Linked DNA regions of Drosophila melanogaster. The protein of the gene in region 2 interacts with the protein of the main gene of each other region in a pairwise test. Each region holds a gene or a part of one and is shown on either strand. Other genes may lie near its edges.

Region 1 (9,024 bases), 9.0 Mb from region 2:
ATGCCGGTCGTCGTAAGATAGGCTTAGGAACACTCAGAAAAATTTGTTTAGCTCAGCATTTTCCTATTATTGAAATCATTTATTTTATGGTCTATGGGGGTTTCTTTCGTAGTTATTGATAGATCAGCGATTTAAGCTACGCTTAAAGGGTAATTTGAGAGATATCTTTGTCATTTTAAAGTTAAGTCTCAGCTTATCCAAAAGTCAGTTATTGGAAAAAAGAAGCCAGCTTTTCAGCAGAGTTCGGCTTAAGCGCTTATTATCATATTAACCAGCTTAATTAATGTAGCTTTTAAATTGTTATATGCATTAAATCACTAATTAAGGTGATTACCATTTGTACGTTTTAAATTAAAGTAGTTTGATTTTCACTAATACAGGCTCTAAGCTGATCCAAATCTACAAGCTTAGTTTTTGAATAGTCTTCACATGTTGACTTTTATTCTCTTATATATATATAGACTTTCTAATGCATTACCCGTGTGATGATTAGTCAGGAGTCCACAGCGTCACATCGTTGACCAATAAAGTCAAATATATCGGGTAAATGGGTAATCAATGGAAAACCCAGATCTAAGTTGGGTCCAGTTATGTTATGGTTTTACGTTCTCTTTTTAATTTCTCTCTCAGAAATATTCCAATATTCCAATTGGAAGTCGCGCAAAAATTGGAATGAAAACGAGTGCGAAAAAGCAAGACAAAAAAATAGCTGTCGATGTTTCAAAACGCAACACTGTGCCCTGTTATTAAATCGCTCCACACACCTACACATTTACATTTATTTGTGCATGTTGTTTGTTGTTGTTACATACATTACTTACAAACACAAATAGAAACACATGGACACAAAGCAGAACGTCCATTCAACGAAAATTGCGTTCTTATGCTGTTCCGAATCTGGTAACACTTTCTTATTAGCGCTAAAATATTCCGCGACTGGGATAATTCAATTTCAATTGTAACAAATTTACGCCTCTTGGCCAATTATATACAGGACGGGCAGTTTGAAGAGCCAGACCCTGAGTCGAGCCATATTGGGTCAAAGAGTTGGCGGACAGCGCTTAGATATACGCGTCCACAACACCAACACCGACGACTCCGATCAACAGCGCCACCCCCACAAACCCGTGGTCACCAATTGGAACTCCACTGCCACTGCCGCCGAGCCCTGGTCCTGATCGTTCACTGTTAAGTCCCGCCAACAGCAGCTACCTGTCCACATCCACATCACCACACCCGCCACCGGACTACGACGACATCTTCGTTGGGTAATAAGGACTCGGATCTGGACTCCAGACCCACGATACGGATGGTGGAACCGTTATATCGGCTTGGTCGTAAAGGAGGAGCAGGCACCAGTGCAGGAAGTGCACCTTGATGTTAAGGTCCATTAACCAAGCAAACATCACCATGCTGAAGTGCGCTGTTTCGAAGTGGCAGCCGATTTGATGACTAAGATTCATCCCAATTAAACGGTAAGTATTTGCAATTTGTTTTTATTTCTTAAAGAAATTTCTATTAACACACTATCACTTTTCAGACCTATTAAACTCAACTGTGGTGCACGGAACTTAAAAAATCTTAAGGAATATGGTAATTAACATTGGCTTGGTGTAATCAATTAAGTGCAGCTGGTTATTTCAATTGAGCACTTTCTTTTTCCATTTTCGAGAGGAGACGGTGTACCGTGAAAACGGGAACTGCTGTGCCATTTAGACCAAACTGGCAACCTGTTACATATTTCAGCCACGTTAGCCAGGCGACACCTGAAGGTAATAACGGCAGGCCACCTGTTGCTGATCACAAAGACTACAGGAATTTGAAATTACTGACACAGTACCCAATACTATGCCCTTATTTATTCTTAGAACATATGTACATAAATACATTAATCGGCATTTAATGGTATCATCAGTGTTTAAGTCCATGTTTTTGTTGATCTATTACATATGTATTTCTTTAATGACATAAAGAAAAAGCTAAACAATTAGAAACTAAGCCAGAAAGTAGTTGTACAATAGTTAATTAAGGATCGTACCTTATGTTCAGACATACTTTACTTTAATGAAATTTAATCATTCATTTTCCATATAAGTATAATGACTTAAGCATCAGGAATATCTTCTTCACCGTTTACGCTTTAATGAGTTAAGGCCCATGTAAGCTGGGTAATTGAAGTGAAACTTTCTCGATGGCGAGGGACATGCACTCGCTGGGTGAAAGTGGGCATGAGGTCCAGAATCCACTGGAACCACTCGACAAGTCGTCAAGTCAATCTCGGCGTGAAACTCGTTTGCCTGTTCAAGTTTTAGTTGCTTACATCAAGTGCAAAAGATATGAATGTGACAAGTGGTTGCCACTGTCATCGTCATCGATTGCTGGCATGGAATGGACTTGAAGCTTTTCCTGTGCATGCCGCGTGTAAATGTTCTATCATCTGCATTTGGCATGCTCCACATATGGGTTTTCCACTAAAAACTGATAAAAATAAGCGTGGCCTGTTAAGATAGTGGTTGAGATACTTAGACGTTCTTTAATCATCGCGGGTGGTGAAATAAATTCTATTTTTAGAATTCCAACTTCAAATTCAAATAGGTGTTGTCAAGGACTGAACATGCAATGTACTAGGAAAATAGATTGTTACGAAAGTAACACTGACTAAAAAAAATATATAATATTTCGCTTAGATACAATTATAACAGAATTAGAGAAAAAAACAGTTTTACCACGGCGGATTTGTAGGCTTCTATGACATAGAAATAATTGCAGACCAACACACTTTGTAAAAATCAATACGAACAAATTTCAAAGTCGCATAGGAAATGGCCATAAATTGTTGATTGGATCGATTCAATTGAGAACGAGGACGATTCGGTTAGGGAACCTACGTGCATCGAACATTCGGGAATCAATACGACAACTTTAAGAAACTTGCCAGAACAAATTTCACTCATATTAAATTTCGCCAGAGAGGAGATAATTGTATCAGATTTATTTCAGAGGCGCCGTGCTTGACAACACATTATTTTCTTTGATCTTGCTGTTTAAGCAAGAAAATGCTATATGAATCATAAATGTATCTTATGTGTGTAGAAACATATGTGGAAAGTTTTTTTTTCGCAGCAAGTTGATCAAGTGAGATCATTTTATTGCATTGAGCTGTAATTTAATTGAACCGAACGGAAGGCGACAATGAAATGCAACGAATAAATTAGTGTACACGAAGTTAAGTAAAATATATGTACATATGTATGTAGAAGAAACCGACCCACTAAATGTGTGCTAACAACATACATACTTAAATCGTAAGAAATGTACTGCAAATAAGGTAAATACCCTTTATTATTGGTAAGCAGTGTTCTTGAACAACTCGCACTACATTTTATTGAAACAGTTGTTAGTTATTTGTAATTACTGGCAATTAACTTACAAAAGGGCTAAGTTATTCAAGTGCTTTGTTGTGAAAATTCCCTACCTGCTATTATTAAGACCATCGTAAGAATTCAGGATTTCAAGCCGTTTCCAATCGACTTCGATCAGCAATTTGTTGGCCACTCAAACGAGAAGCGTGCAAGTTGAAGTTGAAACATTAAACAGATCTTCTCTAGAGGCTCTCACTTAGGAAACCCCCTGTGCTCGAAAAGCAAAACCAGTTTAGCACCGGTCAATAAATTTCAGCTCAAGATTTTTGCAACTTGTTTTTTTGTTCGCCAAACAAAACAAACCGAAAACCAAGGCTCAGAGATTGAGTTTGACCCACATTTAATCACTTTGAAACACAATTAAATAAATAATATAGAATAGTCGGAATATCAAATAAGAATCATATTCATTGGTCCCATTAGGTAATGCCGCAAAATAAATCCCCATGCTAAGTTCAGACACATTTTGCGCGTATTATACGAAAGAATATATCGAAATAAACATTTCAGATCTGCGTCTGCAATTGTTTTTCCTTTTGCGTCATTCCATGTCACGTGTGGGGGCGGGGCCCACAAAAAAAGATGTATTTTCTTCAAGGTAATATGGAGATTATAAGCCAAAATGTGAGTAAACATTTGTTCGAGAGCCAAAGTGCTAGGCGATTCTAAAAATATACGTAAAGTACTTTGAATTCTAATGCAGACATTCATCTGCTTTTGGAATTTGAACTTCAAATGCATAGTACTCAAATGATCGTTGGACTCTCTGTTTTGAAAAATGGGGTGACATTTGTGAAACAAAACGCATAATGAATTTATCAGCTTTATCTAGTTCCATTTCATTCATTACTGAAACAGGGTTTTACTATTTTACGCTGGGTCTATTAATCAGATAGAGGTGCCAACAATAAATAGTGAATAACAATAATTATAATATCTATAAATCTACAACGAAATTCCTCGCCTGATCATTTCAAGCAGCTTCTGTCTAAATATTCTCTGCACTTTCTAGGTTCCATAAAGTCTGTTTGCAATCCTCGCGCTTCTGGAAATTCCAGAATCAACGTTATCACACGTTTATAACTCTGCTCTTCAATAAAAAGACGAATTGTGACGGATTCTTAAAAAAGTTAAGCGCTTTTAAGCCTTTCCACTAATTGCCTTGAGAAACCTGGGGCATGCTAATTATTTTGCTGAATCTGAATAATTTTGTACATATTGTTATCTTTCGGTGTCGTCATTCAGTTTTTCGGTCAGGTGGTTGTCCACACACGAGAGAGATAATGCATACATATAATACATATAATACATATGGGGAGAATGTGGGGGAAGAAAGCGGTGTCACTTCCGAAGATTTGCACAAAAGTGCGCTGCTTCAGTTAGATAACAGATGGGGAAATGGAGATATCATACCAGCAGAATAATAAAAAACTGGTCATGGGTTGTTAAGTGGGTGTGTAAACAGTATGACGACACTTTATAGATTGAGCACTCAAACAAGCTGCTCAATAAGAGAGCAAAATGATTGGAAGTGTTTTTATATAAGTACTTATTTTCTAGGGAGTGGAATATATCTCCAAAGTCGGGAACAGAAGCACTTCGGCTAAGGAGCACAATAGCAGCACATGTGATCTCAAAATCATTTTAAAATTGATAAAACACTTGGTTTTGGACTTTGTTTACATAACACTCTCTTACCTAACCCGATTGCCACGCGCTACTCAAACTCGAAACCAGGTTTTCAGTCGGATCTTAACAGTTCGTCGCGAAAAGTCCTAGGGGCTTGCCGGGCATTAAGGCAGGTTCTCAAGGTCAACGAAAAGCAATTAACCGGAAAAGACGAAATGCCGCCACGTTCCCAAATTTCTAGCTGCAAACCACTTATCACTAATCACCTGCCTAATCACAAGTAATTACCGCTTTCTCAAAATCAAACTTACCATTTTTGTAGTTTCGGTCGCCATGGTTGGGGATCTATATGGTATAGATACTATTGGTATATCTGAAGAATTGATCACGCCGTTTCTCTTTCAGCACAACCGTAAGCGATTATTTCATAATTTCCACCACCGCGCCGAAAAATAACATATATATATATATATATTCGTTGGCTAGACCACTTTTTATGAATATGTTGCTTTGCGTTCGACGACTAATATGCGAATGCTACCAAAACTCAAAACCAAACCCAAACGATTTTCTTTCGCATTCTCCTCTCTCTCTCTCTCTCACTCGCTCTCTCTCTCTTTTAAGCCCTGGACATGGAAAATATCTGATAAGTTGTCGTTGTCTCTGTGGGCAAATACAAATACTTTAATACGCTAAGAGACACATTTAAACTTGTTTTTGCTGTGCATGCTTCTTTGTAGGGGCGTATTTACTATATTCTACACAGGTATATCTACATATCGTTCGTACACTTAAAGTATTTTTTACCTAGTTGACCTTTATGGTAAATTAAAATATTCGGAAGGGTTACTTTAATATTTTTATATAAATATTTTTAAAAGTGCTCTTTATTTAAGCCATGTTAATACTTTGATACTTTGTAATTTTAACAGGCAGTCAAAAACCCTTTTCAAACAATTTTTGGTATACTCCGCATGTAATTGAAATTTATTTTACGTTTGTCAAATGTAGAACAACGCGATATATACATACTCTGGCCTTGAAATTTAATTAAATGTTGTTTGAATATGCTTTGTAGTTCCTATAGTCTCTTTGACTCACCGTGCAAATTGCTAATGCATTTTTCGAGACCGGTGTAACTTGGCATTTCATTAATTTAGGATTATGTTGTCGATACAGACTGTTCTATTTAGCATAAGTCAGCGACTCATGCCCATGTTGATGAATTTTAATATGTGAGTATGAAAAGCCTTTTCCAAAGACTCAAAACGGAACACTCAGCTGGCAAAGGGTGTATGTTGATGTTCCTTCAGCGTTTTGTGGTTGTCTGAAATTAAATTTCTTTTTATATCAAAGTGCAAAAATAGCTTAAAAAGTCGATCTTACCTGTCATTTTCACTGATGAGAAGTGGGTTCCGGTGATCTGCCAGGACCAGGAGATATACTGAGTCTGGCTATAAAATATATGATATAATTCAAAACGACCCCAGCATTACTCCGTATGGAAGTTAAAGAATGCAGTTTTAAGTAACGAAAAATAGCCACCACACATTTAGAAATGTTTTGATTTATTTTATATTGTTATCTTTATTGCCACTATGTTTCTATATTTCCAACGAATTTTAAATGTCTTATATTATAGGAACTCGAGCTCCTCTAGTTTTGAATGTCTGTCTTACTTTTCCTTTTTTCACTCCTCTCTTCAGGATTTGAATAAATTATGATGGTCTTCCTAATAAAAATCCATAAGTTGAAAAATTTTAATGTTTTCAAATATAAAGAATACAAACTGACTTTAAAGAAGATACAGTCTTATTGAAAAAAAATTAAGTTGCCTTACTTTTCTCTTGCTCTTACTTTCTCACTTCTCTGATCACTTCCGATCGAAATTTTCGATGGCATAAAGCGTGTTTATGCTAGATATTTTTTTTGCACGCCGTGGTACCTGAAGAAATACATTCTGAGTGCATGAATCATGTGTCTAAACTCAAATCTTTACCTAAACTATCACTGTTAATTTGTGATTAATTCTTGGCAGAATCAGGATCAATTGTAATGGGGAAAACGAAATCTTTCATTTTTTTCCGCATTCCTAGTCTGATGCCAGTGCAACTAAAACTTCTGCGATCTGAGATCTCGACGTTCATACGGACAGGCGGACATGGGTAGATCGACTCGGCTATTGATCCTGATCAGGAATATATATACTTTATATAGTGCGAAACGCTTCCTTCTGCCTGTTACATACTTTTTAAATCTAGTATAATGAGCTCCGATTCTTCCAGCCAATCTACAGCGAATGCTGTGTCTGCAATATTGACCCCGATTTCCTACATTTCCTAATACCCTGCATCCTAAACGATTTCATCGCCCTTCAGTCCCCTTAGATCCAGCAACACGAATTCAAAACTTATAGACATCTTAAAAACCCCCACATCCAAATTTCTGAAAAAAGCCAATATAATCCATTTACTGTAAACAATTTTTCGTAATCCCCAATTATTAATCCCTTTAAATATATTGTAAATAATTGTAAGTAATGTTGTAACCTAATACTTAAATATTAAATAGTAAATATTAAAGGCTGGCTGAAAACCCCAACAGCTATAGCGTATCTTTACATTAACTATCATGAATCATAACTTTAAAACTTTTGTCTACAGTGTACAAATAAATAAAAAAATATAAAAATTTTAGCTAATACCTTTACGAAAATTTTTAATATTTAAGTACTTTTAGTCACTTTATTGCGTATTTTCGCCGAATTCGCTCTCTTTCTTTTTCGCTCGCAAAATCAGTTCGCCTCGCTTAAATTCGCCAGCACGTTTTTACTTACGTGTAATTTGACATGAACCCGAGCATTGTATCGTGGGGTTGTGAACTTAGAAAGAGCTGATCAAGTTCTGTCGCCTGCCGACAGATGGTGCTTTACATAGAATCTTCGTGCTAATAAAAATTAATTAAAAAAAGGTATCCATTGCTTAGCGAGTGGGAATGCACAGTTGAAATTTTAAAATTGTTTTGTGAATATCGTTAGAAATTGGAAAAAAACATATAAAATATCGAAATTCAACAGCTTGTTGAAAATTGTGGGCGTAATCTACCCATAATGTTTTTTGGCATATCAATAGAGATGAAGTAACATAAAATTCAAATAATCAAAATGTTTTTAAAAATTGCCTGATTAGTGGTTTTTGGCGCCAAGTGGGCGTGGCAATGCTCTGAAGCATGAACGGCGTCGACGTCGCGAGGATCTGCATACTTAATCTTAACTATTCCGAGATCACAGCGTACTCAAGGACATTTTAACGATTTTTAAAATATTTTTTTTTATTTGTTGGTTTAATTCATATATAAACACAATCAAGTCGGTCAATGAAATCACCAATTGGAAACTTACTTCTGTTGGACACCTTGTTTTTCATCTTAATCTCTGTTTGCAATTTTATCGATAAGTTTTCTAAGAAGGTGAGTAAGCTCTTTTGATTTCGAAAATTACTGGACAATTACCATCAATTATTATACTTTTCTAAAATTAGATTGGAATCTTTTCAGCTCATTTGAAGACGTTCATTTCGGTTTCTTTTTTCTTTATATAAGATAAATGATATAAATGTCATGATAAAAAACAAACGTAAAAAGCTTAAAGTTTTTCTCCGTTATGAGTTTTATTTTTTAAATGTAGCATGGATGCCATATGATGGTTAACAAAACTATAAGGATAGTCATAATATCGACGCACCATGTTCATTGACGATACGGAAGTAACTTTAATTTTGTTAATTAGCTGGCAAGAAGTATTTGGTCAAAGGAACGAGATCCTTGAATTGGTAATCAACGGCGACGCCCCCGCCAACCAATTACGATCAGAAGCAGGAGTACAAATTGTGAAAATATCATTAACAGGCCATATTAAATTTCATTGAAGGGAGGAAGAACAAAGCGGAAGTAAATTTCATTATTTTGATTTCAA
Region 2 (8,826 bases):
CAGTACGTCGCTGGACATGCAGACGCCCGGCTTTGGGAAGATCCTATAGAAATTGACGCTATCATATGGAAGTGGTTAAAAGAACTCGCCCGCATAGCATGCCAACAAATGGGGAAGTAGTCAAGGAGGGAACTGGCGGGAGAAATGGGTTTAAATTGAATAGTACGCACCCAAGGACATTGTGCTCCTTGAGCACCTCCGACTCGCCGGACAGCACGGCTGCAATTTCCTCCTCCACCAGCTTAATTTCCTGCCTTTCGGACAGCGCCGAGCACGGACGATCGGGTAAATCGGGCAAGTAGAGATTCTCGACGGGAAGGCCTCCTTCATCTGCCTGGCCTGGTGCATCATGCCCATTCACATCCCCTCGTTTCTCTTCCGAATGCACTTCCGACATGGGTTGGCGACATTCCGCCAGGACATCCACGTCCACTTCCACAGCAGGAGCCGCCATAGTCGCAGCAGCGAGTTCCCGGGGTAGCGGAACGAATGGCTCCGGTTCCGGAGTACGGGCATTTGTGGTTTCCGTCAGCTGGGACAGCGATGGAGTCGGCGACGGTGAAATGGTCGGCATTGGTGACTTGGTCAACGAACCCTCGCTCGTGGGAAACTTCTTTAGGCACTCGTAAGCGTCCTCCTCGTTCTCCCTGCACATGGATCCAAGTGACCAAAAAGTGAGCAGAATTTATGAACATTAGAATTAATTCCGTAACGTGGAATACCTGAGATGGAGCCCTGGTTTCGGGGACACTCTAAGAATAATTATTCATAACCCGAAAAAGTTGAAATACAAACTTAATTCAAATAATATAAATTGCTTCTAAAATGGTAGGGTAATTTTCAAAACTAATGGGGCTAGGTGGGTTTTTGAATTTAACTTTTCTTAGTTTATAATTATAATAAAATTAACTATTATGATATATTAACCAAATGTCATTTTACCCAGACAACTTTTTAAGAAAGCGCTTTATTTTTCCAGAACTTTATTCTTAAATCACGAAAATTTGTCATATTTTTTCCATTTCTCTCGAGGTCGTTTGTGGTTTGTGAATTTCTTGAACAAGTAGATTACCTTGAGCAGGGGCATGAGGAAACGTTCTTGGGTTGTTAGCCCGCTCAGCTGTGATAAATGGTCCTCGGTGGATGGGATACAAAGAGTAGTAGTAAAGGAACCGGACAAGGACGAGGACCACGACCACGAGCAGTAAGAGAACGAAACGGAATGGTATGGAATAGAAGGATGGGAAAGCTCACCGGTAGACGCCAAAATAGAAGACGCTTCCACTGCCCATAATGAGGCGGTGGGCCTCGTCGTGGGTAAGGGGCGTGGCAGCCGTGTCATTGATGCGCACGATGATATCCTCGACCCGCAGTCCAGCCTCGTCAGCAATGCTGCCCTCGGTCACCTAACGTTGAAGCATATGGACATGTTTAGATCTAGATGGGAATGCCTAGATATCGCCCGATTCAGATGCGGATATGGGAATGTGGCGATAGAATGAGTGCGAGGCCGAGATAGTCGAGATAGCCGAGATACAATACAATGGGATGCGATGCGATAATGGGGAAATTTCTATTAGCCGACAACGGCGACGTCGCGTGCTAAGTGCATAAAAATAAAACGCGCGCCAAATGTCAACAAAACAAAGACCAGCAGACCCAGACCCCCGAACAGACAATCATACAATCACGCACAAACCCAACAGAACCGAAGACAATGCCCAAGGAGATGGGGGGGCTACAGAGGATCTGTGGGGGCTGGGGGCTCAGAACGAGGGGTGCTCGAGTAGAAGTGGCAGCTCATTAACGACACTTCAGTTAAGCGAGTCAAGTGGAATTACCCATGTCTAACCACTCAAATATTGCATTGTTTCGCCGGATGGAAATGTTTGAGTTGAAGGATGATTCTACATACGTACATATATACAAAGTTATGAGTTCACTTAAAGAGAAGATTAATTTGTAAGGATAGAGAACCAAATATTGCTGATTCCAAAAAGATAAATGTTCAAACAACTCTACCACTAATATTTAAATAGCTTGTAAAAGCTTTTTTTTACAGAAGTTCTGCAATTTTAAAGCGGGGGTAAAAAATAATGTACAACTAATGAAACTTTCTAGGTCATCCAAAGTTCACAATAGTTTTCTCTAATTACAAAATTAAATTTTTAGAAATAAAAACCCACTGGACTAATCGTTTTAATTGGATAATACAATTTATGGCTCTTTTTTTGGAAAATTGGTAAATGTATATTCCGGAAATGGTACCAAATGACCGTGTAAGAGAATATCGTTTCAAAAATTTGCATTTGCCAACATTTATTTTCGCAACTATAAATCAAAGTGAAAATGTTGCGAGAACAATAACAACTAAATACAATATAAGCTTTATGGCTTTTGTGGGTAATAAAGTACAGACAAATTGGCGCAAATTGAGCATATAAATTGTAGGAATTCATTTAAAATGGTTTTGCCACTTCGGCCTTCAAAATTGCCAGCATACGAAGTGAGAATTCATCAAACTAATAGTTATGGATGAATTATGTTTCGCCTTCAAAATGCGAAATATCTTAGCACTCTGTTCAAAGAATTCTATTGCATAATTCAGGCAGTTTTGTAACACTTTCGTGGGCAAATAAACGCGATTGTTTTCGTTTCCGTTATGAGAAAGCAGGGTTCATAACCAGAAAGTCACGACACCGACTGCCAAGAGGACTTAGTAATGCAAATACTGCAAAAAAAAAAAAGTGGTTGGCACAAGGAGCAGGTGGAGGGTTGGAGACTCCACCATTTCACCCAACCAAGTTGAGGGTCTTTCCTTTCAGTCCCAGGGGTCTCTTGCATTTCACTTATGGTAGAGTCAATTTCCAGCGGTGAATTCGCAGAGCAAAAAGCACTCGACATCGTCGGAGGTTGCGAATATTTATAGAACAAAGGCTTTGGGCTTAGCTGGGCCATACATCTATGTACCAGACTGTATGTGGCGAGCAGCATGACGAAGAGTGGTAGTGTAAACAGAGGTTTTTCAAAAGATTACCAAGGATTGTTTAGTGTTTGCAGAGCCAATATGTGAAGGTGTGTTGGCACATTCCATAAAGTAATATGGACTCGAGTCGAAGGATGTGCTTTTTGAGTCTCTAACATGTAGTAAGGAATTCTTAAAAGCGGAGTATTAGTATAAGGAATAAATTAGCTAAGTTAATTTAGGGAGTTCATTGGAATGAAGAACATTCCGGACATTTTTCAGTTTTTTCTCTATCAGCCAGCTTGTGAAGTTAATAATTCATTTACAATAAACTTCCATTTTTTCATGGTATGCATATCCCAAAGCACAAACATTTTATAAATTGATCGGAATTTAAAATAACCCATAGCATAATTTGTTTATGTAAAACGGTAAAAAAAAAATAACCAAAAAGTCAAAAACAATTTATGACCTCCCTTCCTTGACTCTGCGGCTTAAATTGATTTATTCGTATCGAAGGGATGGGATTTTTTAGCGCCCCTCGCATTTCGGTCATTTGTTTTATGCGCTTAGCAGTTTGCCAATTAAAAATCGCATTTGTTTCGGATTTACGACGATGCTATAGTATTGTATGTATTGTATTTTTGTTATTGTTGCTGGTTGCGAATTGTCAACACAATGTTACAAAATGCGAATTGCCAAATGCAATTTATGCACAAACAAAGGACCAACTGCCAGCGAAACACAATTAAAATTTGAATAAGTTTATTGCCGCTGCCATTATGCGGCTCATTAGCGGGAAATGTATGGCCCTGTCGATTAGATAAACAAAAGCGAGAGGAATTACTTTAATTAACTAATTTGCCAATGCAGCAAATCCGAATGGACACACACGCATCGCGGCGTTACGTAATATTGCAATCGAACAAATAAAACTGATTCGAACGTATCGTATCGAATTAATCCAATGTGATTCATCAGCTGCATAGTGAGCAATATTTTCCACTGGTCTATGAACATCCGCCAGGTGAATGGGCTGAGGTGATGCGTGGGGGGGTGGGGGTTGCAGCATATAGATTTCGTTCTTTTTTCGAATCGGGCCTAACCTTAACCACCGTCAGCGGATAATCGTAGTCCGCCCCGCCCACCAGGCGAAAGCCCCAGGGCACATTATCAAATCGGCACATCTTAATGTCGAGCACCATGTTTCCTTGATTTATTCCGACTTTTTTTGTTCGTTTCGATTTTTCCGTTTTCTATCGCGAATTTTCTTCCACTTTTTTTTTTGCTTTTTTTCTAGCTTTTCCGGCACTTTGCGGTCGGTGGGAAGAAGCGAGTGTTTCGAGTGCAGCGCTGGCAACCAACTGTTGGCATCGCCGTGCGTGCAACTCGACAATCGAGTGGCCATGGCGATGGCGATGATGGTGATCGAAGCGATTTCGCACACTGCCGCCGGAGGAGCTTCATCGAAGCATACTTTCCTCCTGGCCACGACATGCTAATGAGGCTGCCACACTGTCAGCCATCGGCCCACATACCCCTTATCCCCATGCCCCACAGATATCTGGTCGTAATCGTAATCGCAATCGACAGCAGTCAGAGCCTCTTAGCGGCAATGTAACAGGTTGGGCGAACGGGTTATGCTTTGAAGTGGGCGGATTTTTTGGCGGTGATTACACTGAAAACTATGCTCGATAAAGCTGTGTGCATCAATTCACACTTTAGAGCAAGTCCCATAAGGCTAACTCTTCTGAATATCTTAAAAATGTCTTACAAATACATTCCAAACTATTGGTATAGATAGATATAGGTAATGATACAACTGATATTTGCTAAGAAATACAATACAATACCCCAACTACCAAAACAACAGTGCATCGCTTTTCCATCCAAATTGGGGAGTAGAGCTAGAAATAGAGTTTGCATTTTTAGGGGAAAAACGGTACCTGAAACATGGGTGATCAAAGGATTTGCAGTTTGTACGCCCGTGGGGCTTGCTATGCCACTGCAATGCTAGACTGCAGAAGAGGCCATTGAACTGCATTAGCTAGCGCTTCCGATTTAGTGGTATAAATACCAGTTGCAGCCCAGAGCATTCACTGCATATCCAAGATGTTTAGCCAGCACAACGGTGCAGCAGTACATGGCCTTCGGCTCCAGTCGCTGCTCATCGCAGCCATGCTCACCGCTGCAATGGCAATGGTCACGCCGACTGGCAGTGGTCACCAGTTGCTGCCCCCCGGAAACCACAAACTCTGCGGCCCCGCACTGTCCGATGCCATGGATGTGGTGTGTCCCCATGGCTTTAATACGCTGCCAAGGAAACGTGAAAGCTTGCTGGGCAACAGCGACGACGACGAGGACACGGAGCAGGAGGTGCAGGATGATAGCAGCATGTGGCAGACACTGGACGGGGCAGGATACTCTTTTAGTCCACTGCTAACCAATCTGTACGGATCCGAGGTCCTGATCAAGATGCGTCGCCACAGGAGACACCTGACCGGTGGCGTCTACGACGAGTGCTGCGTCAAGACCTGCAGCTACTTGGAGTTAGCCATCTACTGTCTACCGAAATAGGACACTTGGCCAACACACACACATTCATTACCCAGCATGCATACACATACATACATACATACGAACACTTGAACATGGCATTCCCACATACATACTATATGTACACCCGTTCTCCTAACAGCATTCGTAATCCAATTCGTAATCACTTATTTATGCAGCACCAACTTTGACTAATGAATAAAAGTAGACAGTGCAAAAAGAAGAATTTGTGTGAGCGGCAAAGACAAGACAGTCAAAGGAAAAGTACCAAGGAGGCGTAATTCGTTGCCAGGATGCTGCTGGCTCCAATCAGCTGGCTCGGGTTCTTGTTGGCCTACTCCGGCCTGCCGGGCGCCCAGGCGCGGATTGGTAAGTATAGGGTAGAAATGGTAGAGGCAAACGGGCTGTAAAGGCGAGGTAACTTTAAGACCAAGGACTTATTTGGTATTCATAAATGCAGGGCTTAGTACGGCCTGGCTGTTTATACATAAATTGTTTAATTGGCTGACAGCAAAACGCCCACAAAGCCCTTCTTCTCCCAAACACAGCCACCCAAAAACCACCCACAATTTTCCAATAGCCATTTGCATAAGTCAGCTTTGACATTGAATGAGTTTAGCCAGGCGTTAGAGAGAAGAGCCAACTCCGGAATGCACTCATCGCATCCTAACACAATTTGACAACCTGACTTTTGAGGATAACATGTGTGTGGATCCAGACCCCGACCCCGAGAGACCGACCCCGACCCAGACCCAGTTTAAGTTTCTTACGAGGCAGTATATAAGCCAGTTACTTTGGGCCAAACATCATCAGTTAGCTTTCGACCCGGCTCGACCCAACTTAATCCATTTGATCGTAAAGCAACCTAAGCAGTAAACCCATAACCATGAGCAAGCCTTTGTCCTTCATCTCGATGGTGGCCGTGATTTTGCTGGCCAGCTCCACAGTGAAGTTGGCCCAAGGAACGCTCTGCAGTGAAAAGCTCAACGAGGTGCTGAGTATGGTGTGCGAGGAGTATAATCCCGTGATTCCACACAAGCGCGCCATGCGTAAGTTCTTACAAGGATGCAGATCCTCAAGCTGGCTTTGCTAGATCTACATTGTATCCACGATTTTTATTAGCCGGTGCCGACAGCGATCTGGACGCCCTCAATCCCCTGCAGTTTGTCCAGGAGTTCGAGGAGGAGGATAACTCGATATCGGAACCGCTGCGAAGTGCCCTCTTTCCTGGGAGCTATCTTGGGGGTGTACTCAATTCCCTGGCTGAAGTCCGGAGGCGAACTCGCCAACGGCAAGGAATCGTGGAGAGGTGCTGCAAAAAGTCCTGTGATATGAAGGCTCTGCGGGAGTACTGCTCCGTGGTCAGAAATTAGGCCTCCTAATGCGAAAATCATTGACCCCAACTGACCTGGTCGACGCGATTATCTCTGGATCTGGTTCCAAACCAACCATGTGCATATATACTACAATCGATGTTTTTTACAGCTTGTTGCATGTTACTCTTTACGAATGATCGAAATGGATTAAATATATATTCTGCTTTAAGCTTTGGCAAACAATCGCAAATGCTACTTTATATTATTATTAATTTGGGACGTTACATTTATTATTATCATTATATGATATATATGTTGATTATTACACTTGAATAAAAAGCGATATAACACAAGTATTCAGAAATCTAAAATGAATATATCTTTTTTTCTATTAAAACTAAATTTATTGAAAACAAAAAAAATCTTAAAAAAACTTGAAACAATTTAAACCATTCATTCATTTCCAAAACTTGTTTCTGTCTTAATACAGTAGGCAATCCAATTGCAATTCAAAAGTTAGTCGCATGTGGGAAATTTCCAAATTTTAGTTCATAGCTTTTTTCGTACTTCGTTTATCGATGATTATATCATCCGTAAAGAAGTAATTGATCAAATCTTATAATCAAAACATTGACTTACTTTTATGTTGACCTTAAAAGTCGAGTATTTCTAGTCGCGGTTGGCCGATTTTATAGCAATACTCATAATTTAATCGTTCTGTGTAGTTGTAAATTAGAAGATTATTACATTTTGAAAGCTAAAATAAACGGAATCAACTAAATTCATGCAGACCTTAAATAACAATCACGCATTACCAAATGCAAGGCATTAAAAGTGCAAAACGGATAATCTTAGTAAATTAACTAAAATATTAATAAATATCGTTTTAAAACTGACCATTTCAGCGTAGGTTTTGAGGGCATTAAATTGGAATGATTTTAAACTTTACAATGAACAGAGTTTGTTAAAAAATCACAGCTTCCTTTTCAACATAGTTGCAAACAGAAATCCGGCCGCTGTTCAATAAATAATTAACTGCAATGAACGACAATGAAAAATCAATGTAATACCCGTTTCATTACCAATCAAGTTGGCCAATCTGCAGCAGTTTGAATACATAATTTATTTAATAATTTATACCCAGGCGATGTATTCTGGCCCCGCACAATCATACATATCTACCATGCATAACATCCCGTGTTCCGATTCATTTCGCGTGCCTGTCTCTGATTTCAGATCATAAATTATGCGCATACATCCCTCTTACATGTGCATATATATCATAAATCCAAAGTTGGAATTGAGTAGGCTTCGATAACGACTTAACAACTATGATTACGTGAGTGCTTTCCCCAATCGGGTCCTTTCATTCCATTTCAATCATCGCAGTTGTCGTCATTGGGTTAATAGGTTTACGAGGTTTACGTTCTCGGCTTGGCAGCACAATATCTCAGCACCTCATCCATGGTGCACGACTTCAGGCAACACTCGTCGAAGACTCCATCCCGAAGACGTCGAGTCTTGAGCATCTGAACCGAACTATCACTCAACAGTCTTTCCAGCAGGGAACGGTCTTCGAAGCCATCGATCTGATTGAAGTTCACGGGGTCTACAGGTGTTAGGTGAAAGTAAAGAGATATGGCACTTTAGTATTCCTTATATCAAGAAAAATCCCACCTACCCAAAGTTCTCTTGGTCATTGCGTTGAAGCCATACACACAGAGCTTGGAGAGAGTTTCGGGCAGTTTGCGGCCGCACAACTTCATGGTGGCCTGGACACCGCCGATCATAAGGATTAGTAGGAGTAGGCTAGGTAGCAGGATCCTCCTGTCCTGACACCTCATCTCGATGCCCATGAGTGATGAAGTGGTGTTTAAGTATGGATGCGTGAATCCCCCGGGGAGTGTGTAGTATGTGTCTGCCAAGTGGCACGGCCTCAACTGTTTGCCTCCCAGCCATCGACTGAGGGTTATATATATGGGGCAGAAT

What was found. Proteins that work in one complex are often made in the same cells at the same time.
Region 1: the proteins of Zasp67 (region 2) and Indy interact in a two-hybrid assay, tested with the Drosophila melanogaster proteins (one large-scale study listed by BioGRID).

What each region holds. Positions count from the first base shown.
Region 1 is NT_037436.4:18,840,674-18,849,697, forward strand, and holds the start of Indy (I'm not dead yet), read right to left. Parts: upstream 5,595-9,024; 5' UTR 5,387-5,594; coding exon 5,363-5,386; intron 2,114-5,362; exon of another isoform or gene 1,673-2,113; intron 1,594-1,672; exon of another isoform or gene 1,541-1,593; intron 1,476-1,540; exon of another isoform or gene 906-1,475; intron 739-905; exon of another isoform or gene 479-738; intron 1-478. UniProt on the Drosophila melanogaster protein: Cation-independent electroneutral transporter (not associated with membrane depolarization) of a variety of tricarboxylic and dicarboxylic acid-cycle intermediates. There is also small, but detectable, transport of monocarboxylics.
Region 2 is NT_037436.4:9,793,357-9,802,182, forward strand, and holds the start of Zasp67 (Z band alternatively spliced PDZ-motif protein 67), read right to left. Parts: upstream 4,332-8,826; 5' UTR 4,171-4,331; coding exon 4,072-4,170; intron 1,407-4,071; coding exon 1,255-1,406; intron 648-1,254; coding exon 171-647; intron 59-170; coding exon 1-58. Other genes in the region: Ilp1 (Insulin-like peptide 1), read left to right, coding at 5,078-5,542; CG32052 (uncharacterized protein), read left to right, coding at 5,815-5,890; Ilp2 (Insulin-like peptide 2), read left to right, coding at 6,408-6,570, 6,644-6,894; Ilp3 (Insulin-like peptide 3), read right to left, coding at 8,259-8,446, 8,519-8,693.